5 linked regions of the Mus musculus genome follow. The protein of the gene in region 1 purifies or fractionates together with the protein of each later gene. This does not show direct contact. Links are inferred from orthologs where the notes say so. Each region holds a gene or a part of one and is shown in the gene's direction. Other genes may lie near its edges.

What was found.
Region 2: the proteins of Klc1 (region 1) and Clstn1 purify together in Homo sapiens (co-immunoprecipitation; 3 studies listed by BioGRID and IntAct, with this or other methods). This does not show direct contact. The link is inferred for Mus musculus from reciprocal best matches to the Homo sapiens genes KLC1 and CLSTN1.
Region 3: the proteins of Klc1 (region 1) and Kif5a purify together in Homo sapiens (co-immunoprecipitation; 7 studies listed by BioGRID and IntAct, counting the BioPlex papers as one, with this or other methods). This does not show direct contact. The link is inferred for Mus musculus from reciprocal best matches to the Homo sapiens genes KLC1 and KIF5A.
Region 4: the proteins of Klc1 (region 1) and Kif5b purify together in Homo sapiens (co-immunoprecipitation; 11 studies listed by BioGRID and IntAct, counting the BioPlex papers as one, with this or other methods). This does not show direct contact. The link is inferred for Mus musculus from reciprocal best matches to the Homo sapiens genes KLC1 and KIF5B.
Region 5: the proteins of Klc1 (region 1) and Kif5c purify together in Homo sapiens (co-immunoprecipitation; 4 studies listed by BioGRID and IntAct, counting the BioPlex papers as one, with this or other methods). This does not show direct contact. The link is inferred for Mus musculus from reciprocal best matches to the Homo sapiens genes KLC1 and KIF5C.

What each region holds. Positions count from the first base shown.
Region 1 is NC_000078.6:111,757,546-111,761,658, forward strand, and holds the start of Klc1 (kinesin light chain 1), read left to right. Parts: upstream 1-1,303; 5' UTR 1,304-1,497; intron 1,498-4,113. UniProt on the Homo sapiens protein: Kinesin is a microtubule-associated force-producing protein that may play a role in organelle transport. The light chain may function in coupling of cargo to the heavy chain or in the modulation of its ATPase activity.
Region 2 is NC_000070.6:149,585,118-149,589,279, forward strand, and holds the start of Clstn1 (calsyntenin-1 isoform 1 precursor), read left to right. Parts: upstream 1-1,350; 5' UTR 1,351-1,564; coding exon 1,565-1,655; intron 1,656-4,162. UniProt on the Homo sapiens protein: Postsynaptic adhesion molecule that binds to presynaptic neurexins to mediate both excitatory and inhibitory synapse formation.
Region 3 is NC_000076.6:127,235,863-127,239,374, reverse strand, and holds part of Kif5a (kinesin heavy chain), read left to right. Parts: coding exon 1-201; intron 202-483; coding exon 484-630; intron 631-1,469; coding exon 1,470-1,658; intron 1,659-1,960; coding exon 1,961-2,078; intron 2,079-2,378; coding exon 2,379-2,443; intron 2,444-2,544; coding exon 2,545-2,654; intron 2,655-3,219; coding exon 3,220-3,321; intron 3,322-3,512. UniProt on the Homo sapiens protein: Microtubule-dependent motor required for slow axonal transport of neurofilament proteins (NFH, NFM and NFL). Can induce formation of neurite-like membrane protrusions in non-neuronal cells in a ZFYVE27-dependent manner.
Region 4 is NC_000084.6:6,238,713-6,242,900, reverse strand, and holds the start of Kif5b (kinesin-1 heavy chain), read left to right. Parts: upstream 1-1,376; 5' UTR 1,377-1,793; coding exon 1,794-1,919; intron 1,920-4,188. UniProt on the Homo sapiens protein: Microtubule-dependent motor required for normal distribution of mitochondria and lysosomes. Can induce formation of neurite-like membrane protrusions in non-neuronal cells in a ZFYVE27-dependent manner.
Region 5 is NC_000068.7:49,730,778-49,734,289, forward strand, and holds part of Kif5c (kinesin heavy chain), read left to right. Parts: intron 1-1,926; coding exon 1,927-2,073; intron 2,074-3,512. UniProt on the Homo sapiens protein: Microtubule-associated force-producing protein that may play a role in organelle transport. Has ATPase activity. Involved in synaptic transmission. Mediates dendritic trafficking of mRNAs.

The sequences.
Region 1 (4,113 bases):
AGGGTTGATTAGCTTGGTCTTTCCTCCTCCCCAACACAGCAGGGGTGCTCCTGTCTCAAGATTTAATGGAGTGTTCTACGCTGGTTCCGTGGTCCTGTTCTTTCCTGTGTGTGTCAGCACAATTTTCTGACCTTGGAGTTTGGGTCATGTGCCACTCCCTCACCACTCTGCCTGCAATTTTACTGTTTTCAACAAGTCAGATTCTGTTTGAGCTTGTTTTTTCTCATTGGAATGGGAGCTGGCCAGCAGACACCATCTGCCACTTTATGTACCTGGGTCTTCCTGTGAGAACCTTGGGAACTTAGTGGATATCAGTTGAAGGGGCAAAAGAACGAGATGATAAAGCTTGAACAAAGCAATGGCAGGGACAGATGAAACAAAAAAGCCCTTTGCTTGCTGAAGAAGTGTGTGCATATACAGGACTCGGAGGGGCAGTGATTGACCCATGGGAAAGAAATGGGCTCCCGCTTAGCCTACTCTTTTCTTTCCAACACCACCTGGGCAGGGGCCGTCATATGCTTTGTTCAGATGTATGGCAGTGGCTGAAGAGCCGGCGACACCCAACATCCAAGCAGCAGTTTGTGTGCTGGGGCAAGTGAAGCCTGCAGTAAAGACTGAACCCACAGCCTCTCCTTAGGCCAACATGGGCTGCTGCGCTCCCCACGGGAGCTGCCCCTTTATTGGCCAGCCTTTGAATTTTCTAGGAGGTCAAAGTAACTGGATCTGCTTGTTAAGATCAAAAGCACCTGCCTCCCTGATGTTGGTAGGTATAAGTGCAGGGTGGAGGACCGCAGCAGGTTCTGGGCAATACCATCAGAAGAGGGAAGCGTTTCCCAAGGTGGGGAGGCTGTGGGCATTCGCAACCCCTCCCCGTTAGTAATACAACCGCGCCATTCTGGAAACGTCTAAAGGCACCTGGAGGGTTCCCAAGCCGGTGGCAGGCAAGCTCGGCCTTGCCACTGACTCAGCGTCCCCTCCAACCCGCTGCTGAGTCAGGCCTGCAGTTGGGGTGCCAGGCGGCTGTGCGAGGCTCAGGAGCAACCTGAGCTGGCAAGCCTGCCCTTTGGGCCAGGCTGGAGGTCGAGCGAGAGCTGCGGCCAGGAGCGAGCCGCAGAGGGTGGGTCCTGGCCGCCTGGCGATCTTCCCGTCCTCCACGGGTGGAGGCGCGGCGAGGGAAGCCTCCCGGTCTGAGGCCACCACACACAGATTAGAGAGGCTCCTGGAGAGCTCCGGGCTGCGGACCCCAGCCTCAGTTTCCCCTGAGCCCCGCCCGGCGGCGCGAGGGCGGGTGACGTCACGGCGCACAGCATTGTGGGGCGGGCGCGGCGCCGGCGACGCCATTTTCGGCGGCGGAGGGTGGCGCGAGGCTGCGGAGCGCGGGTCAGGGTGAGGATGCTGCGGGGCGGCTGCGGAGGCGCCGCTTGCTGCTGAGGCGGCTGGGCTCTGCGCGGCCTCGGCCTGTGACAGCGCGACGAGCGCGACTCTCCCGATCGGACGGTGAGTGCGCGGCCTGGTCCCCGCCCCGCCCCGGGCTCCGCGCGGCTGGTGCGCAGTGCTCCAGACGCGGCCGCGACCCCTTCCCGCCTGCATCCTCCGGGCTGAGGCTTCTGGACCTTTCCGTCCACCGCCGCATCTGCACCCGGCCCTTCCAGGCTGCGATTTTGCTCCTCCGCCCGAACCCAGTCCCCTCCCTGGCCTTTCCATCCCTGTCTGCACCCTGGGGTTCCCTCTCCTCTCCGCTCCGTCCGCGCCCCTCCGTGCTCCGGTCTCTTGTCACCTCTGCCTGCGCGCCAGTAGTCTGCGGTCCTTGTCCTCTCTCAGCCTGTGCACATCCAGCAGGGGTTTCTGTCCTTTCTCCGCCTGCGCCTTTCTAGGCTCGGGTCTCTTGTCACCTCTCTGCGCTCCTCCAATCTGCGGTCCTTGTCCCTGTCTACCTGCGCCCCTGCTTTGGGTCCCTTCCCTGTCACTGGCTGCGCCCCTCCTGGCTGGGGTCTTTGTCGTCATCTCTCTGCCTGTACATCCAGGCTGAGGCTCTTCTCCCTTCCCTTCCTGTTCTGGTTCGGGTCCTGTCCTATCTCTGCCTGTCCCTCTCTGAGTTGAGGTCCTTGTCCCTTCTTCGTCCGTGACCCTCTAGGTTTGGGGCTCAGCTCTCTCTGCCTGCACTCTAGACTTCTGTTCCTGCCCCTTCTCTTCCACTCCCCTCCTGTGTCCCTCAGGCTTCTGTCCCATCTGTGTTCAGGGCCCCGCCCTGACTCGGGCCTCGGGGCGGGGGCGGCCTTCCAATGGCAGCTGTGGGCTTAAGGGACCCAAAGCCTGTCTGCTGAGGTCCTGAAGAGGTGGTGGTGGTGGTAGTGTGTGTGTTGGGGGTCAGCCGACTGGCTTTGTCTCAGGCCTCCCCGCCCTTCTAGCCCCCACCTCTCCCCGGCACCGCCCTGGGTGGCGTGCTGTCATGCTGTGGTCCATGGCCAGTGGCCAGCCAGTCTCTTTCTTTCAGTGGCCGGGTGTGGAATCTCCCTGTGACCTGAATGTGCCCGGCCTGGAGTGCTTTTCCTTGTTACATGTGGAGCCCCCTTCCCGTAAAAAAAAATTAAGGTGTTAATAAAGTAATATTAATATGTGACCGAGTGGATGGCATTATAATGAAGTTTGCAGGCCGTTTCCAGCTGTGTTGTGTTGGAATTGCTACTACCTGCTACTGTTATGTTATTGGTGATCTGGTGTACTTGCAAAAATGATGTCTTTAAAAAGCATGAGAACAAGAAATTTATATACCATTTAAACTGCTATGTTTTTGATTCTTTGCATTACTTAAATTCCAAGGCTCTTTATACGGTATGACAAAGCCTTAGGTCAGAATTAGCCTGGAATGCTTTGTAATAGGACAGTGAAACCCCATTAGGAAACTCGATCAACCTTGAGTCTCCTAAGCATGCCATAGTTAGGGATCTTCTACATGGAGGCCTATAGGCCTCAGTTGTGGTAGGAAATTTGACTTACTGTTCTTTGCAGTAAGTATTTGTAAGAATGCAATGATTCTATTTAAAATTCCACAGTGTGCGGTATGTGGGAGGGCGGGCCCCTTCTAGATCATTAAAGAATGCAGCATGTTGCAAGTCCAGCCTGATGCTCTGGTGGAACCAAGAGGGGTGGGACCTGGTGGTGACCGCTCTGTAGCACCAGCATTGTGAGAGCGTGTGTGGTGAACACATAGCAGGAAGTGACAGTATATGCCTATAACCCGGACACACTTGGGAGCCACAACTGCATAGCAAAATCTCAAAACAAAAATCCAAAGCAAGAAAAGCATAGACTTGCATGGAATCTGGACAGGGATTTTTTTCCAAGTGCAGAGATTGAAGAGGTGAGGTCTACACAGCTTAGCTATTCTACAGCAAAGTCTCCAGGCTGAAGAGGGCACTCAGTGCTAGGGTAGTAGCCTACATTCAAAAGATCCTGCTTCCTCAGTGCAAGAACAAACAAACCAAACATTACCCACAACCTAAATGTTTACATTAAGAAAGATTAATCCGGGCTGGAGGGATGGCTCAGCGGTTAAGAGCACTGACAGTTCTTCCAGAGGTCATGAGTTCAAATCCTAGCAACCACATGGTGGCTCACAACCATCTGTAATAGGGTTCGATGCCCTCTTCTGGTTTGTCTGAAGACAGCCACAGTGTACTCATATACATAAAATAAGTAAATAATTCTTTTAAAAAAAGATGAATCCATTCTTGGGACTGGAGGGATGGCTTAGTTGTTAAGAGTAATTATTGTCCTTTTAGAGGGACCTGGGTTTGATTCTTAGCACCCAGAAACAGCTCATAATTGTCCCTAACTACAATTCCAGGTAATCTGAGACCCTCTTCTGACCTCTGTGGTGCCCATGAACACCATGCAGGTGTACATGTAAACACTAACTCTTAACAACCAAAAGAAAACATTTTTAAGCATTTTTTTCAGGTTGGGAAAAGTGAAAATCTCTAAAGATCCATAAACAATCCCTAGAAATGGTTGACTTAAAAGAACTAGAAAGAAAACCTGAAGTGACTTTTTTGAAGCCAGAAGTTCTTAATTGAGTGACTGTCAGAAAGCAGATTATGCAACAAGAAAGTG
Region 2 (4,162 bases), on another chromosome or scaffold:
GAGGAGTGCTGGGGCGTGGTCTAGAGGTGGGGACAGGTCAGGAAACAAAGGACAGAGAGGAGAGTTTCCGTTACAGTTTGCTTTGACCCTGTCTCGGTAGGTCGGTTGGTCTGCGCACAGGTCACCGTACCTCTCCTCACAGCTGTTGAAGGTCTTCCTGTAGCGTCAAGTCCAAATCCTCTGTCCTGCCGTGTCCAGGCACCTCAGTCTACCTCTGTGGGCTTCTTGCCCAAACTTTCCTAAACAATGCTCTCTCTCCACAGGCCATACTCCACCCAGCCTGGAGGGCTGTCCGCCTTCCTCACCCTCTCCCCAAGCTGGCCCACCAGCACCCCATCCTCTCTCAAACACGCCCTGGACATCGCTGGCGACTCTTCCAACAGTGGCCGAAATAACTGTTGCAGGGCTGTTGAGGTTTGTGTTGTGGGTGTCTCCCTAATGAGGCCACCCTGCCCTCCAGGGCTGATGACTCTCAGTTGTTTGACCTGAGAAGGCATTTCACTTTCCTCAGCTGCAACACAGTGTGCTCACCGAAGCCCACCGTGACTCTGTCAGCCCTCTCCTCTAGAATAGGGCAGTGTGTGTGTGTGTGTGTGTGTGTGTCTGTTTGTCCATCCAGATTACAGGAGACATACAAGGAAAAGGGACAGACTCCAGAGAACCCTGCAGAGAACCCCAGAAAGGGCCCTTCTTTTGACTCTCCATATTCCTAAAGGGTACTTAGCATCTTCTTTATCGCGCTACAAGGCTATAAATAAGCGACAAAAGGTTTCTACGGTAAATCAGGAGTCCCTGGAGACAAAAGTCCCTTTCCAAACCCCCAGACTGGAGCTGGAGAACAAGTACAGCCACCCTAGGCTTTTACCAAACTCACTGGGATGAGTTGTGTCCCTGCAACCTTTCCTGAGCCCACAAGCTTTGCTCATCACCTCCACTCGGCAGAGGAGGTCACCGAGGTGCTTGGAGGTGACACCGCTTGGATGAAGTGGCCGGGTGCTGGAGCTCTGAGGCCCTAGGATCTGCAGTAGGACAAGTCCTTAGGTTCGGAAACCAAGGAGCGGATCCCCAGGTGCCTTGGGGGGCTTCCAGGTGCAGCGTCCAGGGGCGCGCGCGAGGAGGAGGAGTGGATGCTCCGGGTTGGCCGCGGGCAGGGGGCGCGTCCAGCGGGTCCCTCCCGGTTGCTCCCGGGCCAATCTTCCTCGGCGCGTCCCCGCAGGCGCGCACCCAGGGCTCAGCCTGTGGGCTCGCGCACCCGCGGAGCGGGGAGCGTGCGCGCGCGCTCTCCCTCCCCGCCCCGCCCGCCGCCACCCCGCCCCCGGCCGGGTACCCTCGCCGGACCCGAGAGAGAGCGCCGCCGCCATCTTAGCCGCCGCCGCCTCCAGCGCAGCGCTGCCGACGAGGGGAGGGCGCGCGCGGCCCAGCAGCACGGCGGCTGCCGTTCCCATCCCGGTGCTCGCCGCGCCGCCCAGCCGCCGGCCCCCGGCTGCCCGCGCCCCTCTCGGCGTCCCGCGCGACTCCCTGCTGCTTCCGCGTCGGGCCGGCCGTGGCGCCCCGAGCCCGAGCGATGCTGCGCCGCCCTGCGCCCGCGCTGGCCCCGGCCGTCCGGCTGCTGCTGGCGGGGCTGCTGTGCGGCGGCGGGGTCTGGGCCGCGCGAGGTAAGCGACGGGGCGCGGTGAGCCGGGTGCGGGAGTCAGAACCGAGTGCAAGGTTGGGCCGAATGCAGAAGTCATGCGGGGCCGCGGGGTTCGGGTCGGGGCCGGGTGCGGGAACCGTGCTCGGGTGCAAGGTGGGGGGCTGAGTGCGAGGGTCATGCGGGGCGGCGGGGTTATGGGCAAGTGCTGCAGTCCTGTAGGGCCTCTGGGTTCTGGGCCGAGTGCGGGACTCGTGCCAGAGCCCAGGGTTCGGGTCCTAGTGCGCGCATTGTATCAGGCAAGGTTCGGGTCCGAGTGTGGGGATCGTGCCGAGGCCCAGGGTTCGGATACGAGTGCGCGAGTCATATTGGGCAAGGTTGGGTCCGAGTTCGGGCATAGTAACCGGGTGCAAGGAGGTGGGCAGAGTGCAGGAGTCGTGCAGGGCCGCGGAATTTGGGTCCGAGTGTGGGAATTGTGCCAGGGCTGAGGGTTCAGGTCCGAGTGCGCGCGTCGTATTGGGCGAGGCTCGGATCCCGGTGCGCAGATCGTCTCCAGCAAGGTTCGGGGCCCAGATCGTATCAGGTGCACAGGTACAGGACCCAGTGCAGGAATAGTGTCAGCGCACAGGGATCGGTGCCGAGTGAGGTAGTGTTGCTGGGGCGCGGGGTTCCGACCCGACTGTGTGACTGATTGCCTGGGAGCGGGGCTCTGGGCTGAGTGCGGAACATCGAGCCCGCTCGCTACGTGAGATTCAGGTTCAGGCGCTCAGAGAAGAGCTCCGGAGAACCTAGGCGCGCGCTGCAGATGCCTGGGGAAGCCAATTTTGTACCCGGGCGGGGCACCTGGGCCATGACTGCCCTAGTTGTAGCCCCAGGGTGCTTGAGGTGCTGGTCTGGGGAGATCTGGGGACACGCGGTGGGAGTTAGCCCACTTTCCAGTAGCGCATGCAGCCTGGGGGGTGCGCCCCTGGGTGGGATGCAGTGTACGTGTGTTGGATGATCAGCCCAGGGATGCACGCAAGGATTTTGGTGTGTGCTTACATAAGATTCCACTCCTCCGCATCACTTTCCCAAGATCCCGGTTCTCTGCTGCGGCTAGGTGGACACCACGACTTCGCCCCTTTTCGCCTCCTCTCCGCGTCCTTTAAACGCGGTTTCGGAAGTAACAGAGGCGAAAACTCCTCTTCCTTCCCACCCTTTTGCCCAAAGACGAAATTGAGAAGGTGTTTGTGATCACTTTTCATCCACCAGTGTGAACAAAGCGCTCGTCCGCTGCACCTTTACTCAGAGTAGTGTACCGGACTTGTATGACCACCACAGAGACCAGCCAGCCCCGCTAATTCCTTAGGAGTGTGGGAGGCAAATAGGATTTTGCTGTTTTAAATCTTCATCCACTTCATCTAAACATTGTACCTGCCTTCTGATATTGACCGAGCTTGCCACCAAAACTGCTTACGCATTGCAGATAAAGCCTTCTGAATGGAACTTGAAACCGTAAACATTTTTCCTGGTCTTAAAGTAGTCTAGGTAGATAGTCTGTAGAGAGTGCTCGAATCTATTTTCTTCAAGTGTATATTTTGGAAATCAAAAGAGCTTTGTGGGAGGAGGATTGATAGAAGTCTGGGTGAGATGGTCACGTAATAACTTTGCAAGCTTTAAAAAAAGATTGCCTTTTCTGCTTGGCCTGACTTAGGAAAGTTGTGTTCACAAAAAAGGGCAGAAGAGGGCAAAGCATCCTTTGTTCCAGCGTGCCACACAGAGGGTGATAAACTGAAAACTTCTTTTATTCCATCTAGAACATTCTGTCCATTCTTGTCAAATTCAGCTCCTTGCCACTAAGTATCTAATTACCGTGCATTTGATTTTTTTTTTTGAAAAGTTTCAGCAAACCAAGTATGAAATGAGGTTTGAAGCCTGGTCTATTTAAGAGGAAGAAAACTTGGTTTTGCTTCTTTTGGAAAAAAAAACCAGCCCATACATGAAAGGAGGGGAGGGCTGGGTTGGGTATTTTGGAAACAGTTCAAGTAATGTTTAGTTGAGTTGGTAATAGCATCGCCTGCTTGAATTACTGCTTTTAAGGTGTCTTCCTGCATCTACCTACAGTACTGCTCATCTTTTAGTTACTTGGGTAAACCATGGTCAGGCTCACCTGATTACCCTCATTATGGCTGAGAGGAATGTGAAATTTCCAACGTCTTACAAAGTAAAAATGTTTGAACATCAGTTTTTCTTTTGCATTTACCGTTTTTTTTCCAGCTTGCATGGTCATGAATATTCCATGACATGCTAATAAAACAATTTCAGTTTGAAATGTTACAAATGAGTTTTATATGTAAATATGCGGTTTCTGGAGGCACTTTCCCTGGGCTCATTATTCCAGTGAACATCTGAGTCCTCCCTGCAACGTTGGTGCTGGGGACGGAGCCCAGGGCCCGAAGGCTGGACAGGCATCTGCTCCTGAGCCACACTGCCCCTTCAGCATTCCCGTTTGTTTCTTGTTGCAAGATGGAATGGCATAAACTGTTTGTTGGT
Region 3 (3,512 bases), on another chromosome or scaffold:
GTGTCCACTCGGGGAGACAACGAGAAGGTCCAGCGGGAGCTTAGCCACCTGCAGTCCGAGAACGATGCTGCGAAGGACGAGGTGAAGGAAGTGCTGCAGGCCCTAGAGGAGCTGGCGGTCAACTACGACCAGAAGTCCCAGGAGGTGGAGGAGAAGAGCCAGCAGAACCAGCTGCTGGTGGACGAGCTGTCCCAGAAAGTGGTGAGTGGCCGGCGAGGGGCCCGGGGGCCCTCACAGCGCCTCTGCCTCCCTCCACTGCTGTCTGACGTTGCCCCCTGCGCTGTTGCTGCTGCGTGTGTCGAGACATCCTCCCCCGCCCGCCCTGCCTCTGCAATCTGCCCTTCTCTCTTCCAGAGGCTTCTGCAGGGTCTGTGTTCTCCCCATAGCAGCCCTCAGAGTCTTACATGACATGCGAGGCTCTGCTCAAGCTGGGAAGGGGAGCAGGAGGCTGGTAATGGTAATGACCTTAGGGGCTGTCCCTAGGCCACCATGCTGTCCCTGGAGTCCGAGCTACAGCGGCTCCAGGAGGTCAGTGGACACCAGCGAAAGCGGATCGCTGAGGTGCTGAATGGGCTGATGAGGGACCTGAGTGAGTTCAGTGTCATCGTGGGCAACGGCGAGATTAAGCTGGTGAGTGGGACGGAGGGCGGTGCCATCCAGGTGACATTAGCAGGGTCTAGAGGTGACAGAGGGTAGAACTGACATGCAAATCTGTGTGTAAGAACGTGACCTATTGGGATCGCCGGGCAGGACCAGATTACCCACATAAGAAAGTCCCTCGGGGTGCCGAGGTGAGCAGCTGTGGTCCCCGCCCTTCTGTAGGGTGAGACAGGCTTCAAGTCAGGGGTTCGAGACTAGCAAGGATGATGAAGCAAACAAAGACAAGACTCAGTGGTTTTCAAGGCAGACGGGAGAACTATCAGCATCTGAATGTGAATAGAGGCTTTGAAGTGAGATGCTAGTTAGTAGGAGCCGTGTCTCAGTCAGGGTTACCGCTGCTGTGGTGAAACCCTGTAACCAAAGCAACCTGAGGGGGGAAGGGTCTGTTACGGATCTCAGTCCACTGAGGGAACCTGGAAGCAGGAGCTGAAGCAGAGGCCATGGAGGGGCGCTGCTTACTGGCTTGCTCAGCCTGCTTTCTTATAGCGCCCAGAACCACCAACCCAACCGTAGGCTGGACCCTCCTGCATTGATCACTATTTGAAAAAAAAAAAAAATGTCCTGCAGGCTTGCTGACAGTCTGGTATTATGAGGGCATTTTCCCAATTGAGGCTCCGTCCTCTCAGATGATGCTGGCGTGTGTCAAGCTGACACAGAACTAGCCAGCACAAACTGCTCGAAGGTGTTGATGAGTTCCCAGCTTCCTTGAGTACCCGAGAAGGAGAGCGAGTCAGATGGGGAGGGGGAGGGATGCAGGTAAGGGCTTCCCGCCTCAGAGAAGCAGCTCTCCCTCCTCTGCCCACCCTCAGCCCGTGGAGATCAGTGGGGCCATCGAGGAGGAGTTCACGGTGGCCCGGCTCTACATCAGCAAGATCAAGTCGGAGGTGAAGTCCGTGGTTAAGCGATGTCGGCAGCTGGAGAACCTCCAGGTGGAGTGTCATCGCAAGATGGAGGTGACCGGTAGGGAGCTGTCATCTTGCCAACTGCTCATCTCACAGGTGAGCGTCTGAGGATGGGAGCCATAGCATGAGAACAGCTGTTCTGGGGTGATGGATAAACTCCCAACAATGGAGATCAAGGTCTGAAGAACTAGGGGGACAGGGAAGAGGATCCAGGCATGAAGTTTAGGGGGCATTGACCTTTGACCCCATTGCCTAAAGGAAGGGTCTCTATAGGATCATGGCCTTTAACCTCACAGAGGCTATGAGGGAAGGCGTGGGAGGATAGCTGCAGTTTATAGTGAAAGATCATTTATACCTCTGTCTCCTTGATGCCATCCACCCCTCTCCTCCCCCACCAGCATGAGGCCAAGATCCGTTCACTCACGGAGTACATGCAGACTGTGGAGTTGAAGAAACGGCACCTGGAAGAGTCCTACGACTCCCTGAGCGATGAGCTTGCCAGGCTCCAGGCGCACGGTGAGGCTCCTTGGATCTGAGGTCCCAGAGGGACCCCTAGGACAGTCACACACACTGGAGGAAATGGCCGGACAGCTCCTCACTTAGCATCAGCTTGAGTCCTGGGTTGTCGGCTCACGTGCTTCTCCTCATGTAGCCTGGCCTCTGCACGTCGCTCATTTTACTCGAATCCTAGACCCTCTGTTCTTCCTCACCCCTGACAAGGCAAATTGGACTGTCCCAAACCAGAACGTCCCTATGCGCCCATCCCCTGGGACCTGAGCTGGTGTCATGGAAGCTGTCTTCCTCCCTTTCACTTAGAAACTGTACACGAGGTAGCTCTGAAAGACAAGGAGCCAGACACACAGGACGCGGAGGAGGTGAAGGTGAGCTGGGGAGGTGTGGAATGGCTGTCTGGCAGGGCAGGGGCTGTGCTGACTGTCAGCCTAGGGGTCTGGCTCTGAGCACGGGGTTGTGCTCTCTGCAGAAGGCCCTGGAACTACAGATGGAGAATCACCGTGAGGCCCATCACCGGCAGCTGGCCCGCCTCCGGGATGAGATTAATGAGAAACAGAAAACCATTGATGAGCTGAAAGAGTAAGGGGCGGGGCTTAGAGGTGGCTCCAGTGTGTCTGTCAGTCCCCTCATCTTGTTGTGGCCACTCCAGCGATCCTTCTGGATCTTTAATGTCCTCAACAGTGACACGCCTTGAGGCCCAAACTTGAGAGACACGAGAAGGGCTGGAGAGGTGGCTCTGTAGTTTGAGAGCACTGGCTTGCTTTTCCAGAGAACCTGAGTTTGATTCCTAGCAACCACGTGGTGGCTCGCAACCGTCTGTAACTCCAGTCCCAGGGGATCTGACTGCCTCTTCTGGCCTCCTTGGGTACCAGGCACACAGACATACTCGCAAGCAAAACACCCATACACATAAAAAATTAATTAAAAGACACAAGTAGTTAGGATTAGACCTGTCCTTGGAACTTTTATGATTGCAGTACTCGGGGTCCCATGTTGCCATGAAAGTGGTAGCCGACGTGTATCCCCGATAGAGCCAGTGTGTATCCCTGATATCTGAAGTCGGGTGCATCAGGGCTGGTGTGAGGGGCGGGGCTTCCTCCCCCCCCCCCCCATTGAGTGTCTCTTTATGTCCCACCCTCCCCAGCCTGAACCAGAAGCTCCAGTTAGAGCTGGAGAAGCTTCAGGCCGACTATGAGAGGCTGAAGAATGAAGAGAACGAGAAGAGCGCCAAGCTCCAGGAGCTGACGTGAGTGACACACCTACCAGCAGACATGTGCAGATGCGGGATGCATGGGGGGCCTCTGTGGGGAGAGTCACAGGATGCAAGCATGAAAGGGTGGAGAGAGGGAAAGACACCAGCAAAAAGAATTGCCAGGCCAGCTGTGGTGGTGCACGCCTTCAATCCCAGCACTTGGGAGGCAAGGTAGGCGGATTTCT
Region 4 (4,188 bases), on another chromosome or scaffold:
ATCCAAAGTCCACACTTCCAAGGCCTGTGATAATGCCCCTGTTTTCTTTATTTCTAAGATTCTCCACTGTTCCCCTGCAATTGTGCTCTTCTCCATTGCAGAAAGCCAATCAAGCTGGATCTATTTGTTTCTAGAGGTGCTAGAATGTTCCAGCAAATTCAGGGGTCAGGGAGGTGTCCATAGTCCCACCATTCATTTACCCAGCAAAGTCTGGAAGCCAGAAGAAAGGTTTCTTATCGTCACTGAAGTTTTTCCTTGCAGAACCTCAGAGCCATTTCCACATAGAGTTTTTGTGGTATTTATCTTCTGAAAAGGGAATGCTAAGTCATCTATTTTTGAAGTGCAGGGGGTGGTTGAAGCCAGGGCCTCCTGCTTTCTAAGCAAACACACTACCAGAGTTCCAACTCTAGCCCCAGGAGTGGTTTTCTCAGATATGTCACCCGCACGTATTAATCTAGGTCAGTGGTCTTTAACCCTCCGAATGCTGAGACCATTAATATGCTTCATGTTATGGTGATCCCCAAGCATGAAATTATTTCGCTGCTATTTCGTAACTGTAATTTTGCTACTGTTATGAATAGTAATATAAAAAAATCTGATATGCGATTCCCAAAGAGGTTGTGACCCACAGGTTGTGAACAGGTGATCTAGGCCTTTAAAGACACTCGTAAGGATCTGGTGCTGCAACACCATTCCTTTGGTGTTGCAGCTAAGTGAAGTTTCCCATTGGTCGGAGAAGTGGGACCTCAGATTTACCAAATACCTTTGGGCTCCTGTGGCTCACCTGTGTGATGTCAAGCCCTGGGCAGCTAGAGGAGACACATGAGGGTAGGTTCTTCTTCCATCCCACCTAGCTGTTCCGTATCGCTTGGGAAACTTTTTCATTGCTTGAAAGAAGCTTCCCCTTTCTCTGCTTTGTCTGAATAAAGCTCCCAGGCTCGCAGGGCGGGGTGCATTACTGCTGCACCCCGGCCATGCCCCACCCTTAACTCAAATCTCCCCGGTTTTGGCAAAGCGATTTAAAACAGAAACAAAATAAAACCCAAGGTTGCATCAGTAATCTTTCTTTTTTTTTTCTCTAAGGCCAAAATGAAAGCCCCTTTTTTTTTTTTTTTAGGGATCTGGCCTTATACAAAATTGAACACCACCATTAAGTGGTTAAAACAAACTCCTCCAAAGAAAAAGATAAGTAAACCTTCCGATGCTCTGAGGAATTCTGCAGCGGCCTTGGCGCTACTCAACTTGCAGGAAAACTCGATCTGAAGCCCCAAACCTGCAGCTGAGGTGGAGCCAGGCAAAGCCTGCGGCCCGGCGCGGGCAAGGATTGGCTGCTGGGCATCGCCCCGCGCCTGCGCAGTGTTCCTCCCGCCCGCCCAGTTTGCCGCCGGCCTGGGCACTAAGGCCTTTGGAGGGTGCGCGCGTCAGCTGGCCGGGAAGCCGGCGAGCTGCCGGGACAGGATAGTGGGCCGAGCCCTAGGCCTCGGCTGTCCTTCCCGAAAAGAAAAGAAGGAGCCGCTCGCCAGTCCCCGCAGCCTGTGGAGGCCGGTGAGGGAGACGCCGAGGAGCATCGAGGCTCTGTGGGCGCCGCCGCCTTGGCCGCCATGATGGAGCGGAAGTGAACTTCGGGCGCAGGCTGCCGGCGACAGCGCTTCGGTCTAGCTGCCCGGGGTGCACGGCGCTGCGGAGCCCGGACCTTCCGGTCCTCGCGACCCCTGCCTCTTGGCTCCCCTCGCTTACCCCAAGACTGAGCGGCTTGAAGAGGCGCCCGGCCTGCGGTCCCGGCTTCCAGAAAGATGGCGGACCCGGCGGAGTGCAACATCAAAGTGATGTGTCGCTTCAGACCTCTCAACGAATCTGAAGTGAACCGCGGCGATAAGTACGTCGCCAAATTCCAGGGAGAAGACACGGTGATGATCGCGGTGAGTGGCCCCTGTCCCCATGTCACGTGGGGTCGGGCAGGACGGTGAGCTCTGGGACATGGCCGGTCGCAAAGCCCAGAGGGAGCAGGGAGTGCTCGCTCTCCCGAGCCGGGTTTGCGGGTTCAGACGACCAGGGAGGAAGGAGCAGTGTTCAGGAGACTCCGCGACGATTCGAGGATCACCCCCACCCCAGTACTAAGCTTGGCAGCTGGGAGGTGTCTTGTTTCTCATTCTGGACACTCCCCCACCTGGGGCTCTGGAGGCTGCATCCCAGGAGCTAGTTTAGTGCACGCTCATCCGTGTGTGTGTGTGTGTTTGTGTTTCTTAAATGTTCTCCCTCTCAACTTTTCATGTAATAAGTGGGAAATTGGAGCCTGTAAAAAGAACTAGTGGCTTTTCTTTGAAATTAGAGTTCTCTCTAATGTCATAAGTGGATTTAGATTGGGCCAAATAAGTGTCAGAAAGATCTAGAATTTCATTCTTTACCGTGTTTTAACATTGTAGGAAAGATAGCTATAGCCGAGACATAGTGTTGTAAAGACCTTACAATGGGGCTTGAATCACCATTATTAGATTCATGTTAATACAGTCTATCTTGACAGAAATTGATTATGGTAATCTGAGAGGAAGCAATACTCCTTTGTAGTGGAAAATGTAACTGAGCTGATTGATTATTATTTGAGAAACTTGAAAGGGTTTTTTATATCTAGCATTGCAGGTTCTCTGAAAACAGCATTTTGAGCTCAAGATTAAAAGTGACTGGATAAGATTGCCTCAGTATACAGAACATCGAGCTAAACTAACAAGTAAATTCATCATTAGTGATGATGCCATGGGTATTGCTATTAGGATTCAATTGTTAATGTCAGTTGTTACTCGAAATTGTTTGTTCTTGAGTAGTAATCTATATTTAGTATATTGTTTGAGCTACTTAATTTAGAAATAGGGCAGAGAGGTCACAGGAGACTGGCCATTGATGAGTGAAAACATTTTAGCCTGAAGATAGTACTGAAGTTCTCTAGAGGGTGTGTTAATGTGAAGGTTTTCAAAGTTGAGTTTTCGGAAATTGAATGTGTTAGTAGTGTATCCTCCCGGTAGGGTTTTGGTAGAAAAAAAACTATTACTGCTGTGTGAAGACTATCAGGCCAGTTCTTTGGGGGGTGTTTTGTTTCGTTTTGTTTTTTTCTTTTTCTTTTTCGAGACAGGATTTCTCTGTATAGTCCTAGCTGTCCTGGAACTGGACCAGGCTGGTCTTGAACTCAGAAATCCGCCTGCCTCTGCCTCCTGAGAGTCGGGATTCAAGGCCTGTGCCACCACTGCCCAGCCAGTTCTCTGTTAGTAAGTCCTCAAGGTGCTCTTGTAGTAAAGAAGGGATGTTAATTGAGCATAGGAATCCTGTTCTTTAGTGCACAGAGGATAGAGTGGAAGGTGGTTGGGTGTATGTTGTGCCTGCACTCCTTACCGGGTTTCAACTCCACTATTAGTCCCCAAATTTGAGGCTACTTATTCCTTCCCATCTATGATTATGCAGCTTTAGCTATACTTCATTTGTCACTTGTATTAAGATGGTCTTAATTCTCTGAGTTTTTGTGCTTGTTTTAAAAAAATTGTAAATATTGCTAAGATTTGTTTTGCTTGGAATGCCAGATTTCAGGATTTACAAAATATATTAAGTTGTGGTGGCTTACATACTTGTAATCATAGCACTGGTGAGCCTGAGACAAGAGGGTAGTGGCCATAATATATGAAACAAAAGATAGACCACTACAGAAAACACATTTATTTTAGGTCCTTTCCTTTGGAAAAAGTTGCCATAATTTCTGTTTCAAAATTTCTGTAAGTAATACAAATAAGTTTAAGTGATGAATAGAAACTTAGGGTAGATGATGAAATGACTTAAATGTGTTTGTTTATAATGTCAACTGAATGGTAATCATAATCACTGTTCAGATAGAAAATAATTAAGGAGTCTGCTTTTCTTCTAAGTTTAGCTTTTAATATTCTGTCCAAAATTTTTCCTGTTATCCTCAGAACCAATTTTAATAAAACATTTCTTGGACATGGAGACTTTCATTTCGTTCCTTAAATCCCTGTATAAGTCACCAAATAGGCTTTTAAAATTCACTAAAACTTGAACACAGAGACAAAAGCATATAATACAGATAATACATGTAAGAAATCAATTCCTAAAATAGGGATGAGATATATTAAATATCTTCTTAGTGTCCCCAGTGTTTCCTGTGGCTTTATAATAATGTTCTTTCCCCTA
Region 5 (3,512 bases), on another chromosome or scaffold:
CAGCAGTCCACAGTTTACATCCTGCTGAATGACAGTGTTCCCCGACTTCCCACCCTCTTGTCCTAGTCGGAAGGACAGAGGTAAGCTGGCCCTGTTCACTGGCTTCCAGCCGAGGGATCGCTGTATTTCTGGTTCCTCCCTGAGAGACAGCTGTTGTGGGTTTTACTTGGTGGGCTAGTGACAGGTAGTCTGCTGTGGCCGGTGAGCATTTGGTGATGTGGCGGATGCCATGCCCTTTGCTGCCTGGAGATGGCTCACAGAGAAATTGAGTTGCTGTAGCCTGGTGTCCTTGGTGGCTCTGCCTGAAGGACCTGGTGTCCTGGACTGTGCCATACTACCTTAATAGAAACATCAGTCCCGGGCACTCAGAGCAGGGTGGGGAGGAAAGCACTGGCTGCTGGCAGTGGAGCGGACAGGAAGTACTATTTACTCCCCACATCCTACTGCATCGGGGAAGAAAGGCCTTCCTAATGGTTTCCATGGGACAGGGCTGCTATGTCTGTGGTATTAAATAAGGTGAAACAAATAGTTGGCAGTGCTGATGGACTGTAAGTCCCTGCAGACTCACTGAGAGAGGACTGCCACTCTGCCTCTACTCAGTGTCCCCCTGGGTTCCTACAGCGTGTCCCTTCTGTGTTGTACATCTGAAAGCAAGGCAAGATTTTCTATAGTACGCTTCTCGTTTTGTGTCAGAACAACTATTATCAGACTGCTTTAATATACTATTTTTAGTAAGTGGTAGCGACTCACTGAAAATGCCTTTGAATTAACTTGCAAGGCCCGGGGAGGAGAGGACTTCCTTCTGCAGCACAGGCTGTTGGTACCAAGATGCTAGAAGAGCTACGATTCCAGTGCTGCGCCTGAAGAAGGCATTGCTTCTCCTGCTAACAATCGGGGTGGGGGGATAGAAAAGAGGTTAATTTGATGAAGTTTGGTGAGAAAATCGAGCTTTTGCTGCTATGAAGAAGCTCTGCTATGGAACCTGAGTAATTCTGAAGAATTATAGTATTTAATTTGGCTTCCCTGAGGACTAGAAGATGTTCTAAGTTGTTACCTATCCTCATTAGTGTTTGTCTGGGCTATTGATTCCAGACCCCATTACTCAGGGTATTTGGATGGGACCCAGGGAGGAGATTTTTGTTTGAGCATGGAGCTGGGGAACCTGAAATAGAACAAGGGGGAAGAAACAACCTTTGGTAAGTTAGAAAATGTAGTTAAATCCTATAAACGTAGGGCCTCTTTTTGCGCCAGTGTGTACAGGTAGAGACCAAGTCAGCCCTCAGCATCCTTCTTTAAAGTGTGCTCTGTCTTTTTATTTTGAGACAGTCTCATTGTTTTGGAACTCACTGAGTATGGTAGATTGTTGTCCAATGGCCAGAGGAATCCTTCCAGTCCTGGGATAACAATGGCGCACCACCAGACCCAGATAGAGCTTCCAGGATTCAAACCTAGGTCCTTATGCTTGTGCCCCAAGCACCTTACAGACGGAGCTCTCTCTCCAACCTCTTATTTATTTAAAAGGCCTTACTACAATTTACTTATTTTTATGTTCACGTACCATGGTACCTGGGTGGAGGTCAGAGGACAGTTTGCTGGAGTCAGTTCTTACCTTGACCCAGTGAGCCCTGCTCTGGGCCCTGAATTCATTTACAGTAACTCACTTTGCTAGCGTCGATATAACCAATAATAATAATAATAATACATATCTAGTAATAATACATAGCTGGTTTTACAAGGTAACATCTCTGAATTAAGTTTCTGTATCAGAACCAAGTGCTACGCAGCAGTCAGCCTTCAGAGTGCTTTTCCACTGAGATCAGAGGAGTGATTAAAGAGCTGGGTCTGGCATGGGCTGTTGAGCTCTGGAGGTCACAGGTGGAAATTCATGGGCCACCTTGGTAACCTGTGGCTGACTTTGTTTTCCAGACGACACTGACAACCACCCAGCGAGAGCTGAGTCAGCTGCAAGAGCTTAGTAACCACCAGAAAAAGAGGGCCACAGAGATCCTGAACCTGCTTCTCAAGGACCTGGGGGAGATAGGCGGAATTATTGGCACCAACGATGTGAAGACTGTAAGCCAGACTTGTGTTCTCTGTTCCTACCCTGACTGGTGTGATCCGAGTCAAGCTCTGCAGCACCTGAGGCTCAGGGCTGTACTCTGCACCTGGCGCATGCTGAAAAAGGAGAGCTGGCGCATGAAGCAGGGGCTGGGGGAGGGGATGGAGAGGAACAGTTTGCCTTTCAGATCTGGGGGGCATCTTCCAGTCTTGGTTGGTTTTGTGTGGCTTGTTTTTTTTTTTCTTTAGCCTTACCTGCAATGCTCTCACACTGGGGCTCAGCTGGGAGAAGCTGCAGGCCAGGTCTCAGTCCCCACCCTTCCCCACCCCCCCAGCCCAATGCAGTGAGAATTCTCCAGCCAAGCAGTACGAATTGAGAAAGCTTCCAGCTGAAAGTCATAGGCAGCTAGCAGGGGCTGAAAGAGTAAACCACACTTAATTATGTGTAACAGGAGGAGGCTAGGCCTTGTTACTCAGGGTCATCTGCATCACCTGGGGCTAATTAGCAATTTAGACCCCAGGCTGACCTCAGACATACTGAAGCGGACTCTGTGTTTTAACAAGATGACTCGTGGCTTATTAAAGTTAGAGAACCCAATTTGGTTTCATTGCAGTGGCTCCACAATCCACAGGACCCGACTGTTGTGTTTCCTCTCTGCCCATCCTTAGCTACTTTCATTTTCATATCTTTACGCTTTTGCCTCGTAGCAAGATCACTGCTGTAGCACCAACTGTCAAGTCTTTATTCATTTACATCCAGTGTGCTGTATCACTAACCACTTTTATCCAGGAGAGGGGACTATATACCAGAAATTCCCAATCTTATGTAGCCTTAGGGCAGCTGCAAGGCAGCGGTTTCAGGCCCTGCCAGGTTAAGCTTTTAAGTCACGGCTAGGCTGGTCTGTGCTTGACGGTTAATGTTTAGAGCCACATGTTGCTGTTGAGCAGTGTAGTTCTGACATGGGGCTGATTAAAGGCTCGCAGGACCTCATGGAGTGGATTTGTGGGACGTTGGCACCTCCTGCTGATAACAATAAGAAAAGATATTTTTATGCTAAGATCTTACACTGAGCTGAGGAACACATTAGTGAACTCAAAGCGTGTCTGTGCTTTGCCATTAAAGGTCCTTCCTGCCGGAAATCCTAAGTATGATGAGAGGATTTTTAAATACCTAATTGCATGCTTTGGGATTATTTTTAGGTTCCAGACACTAGATGCCCTTAGCTAATTTCATTGATGACTCTCACTTACAGATCACGGTAGTCTCAGAGAGCCTCCTTCCATGCTGGACCAATGGCAAAGGCTGCCAGTGTATCTGTGCTGTTGCATTATGGGAGGGATAGAACGGGGAGCAGTATCGGGAGGCAAATCTCAGTCACCAACCCAACTCACGTTTAGCAAGGGCCTCCATGATGGGGAGTCACAGCTGATAATTGTAGCTTTTCCTGCTGGTC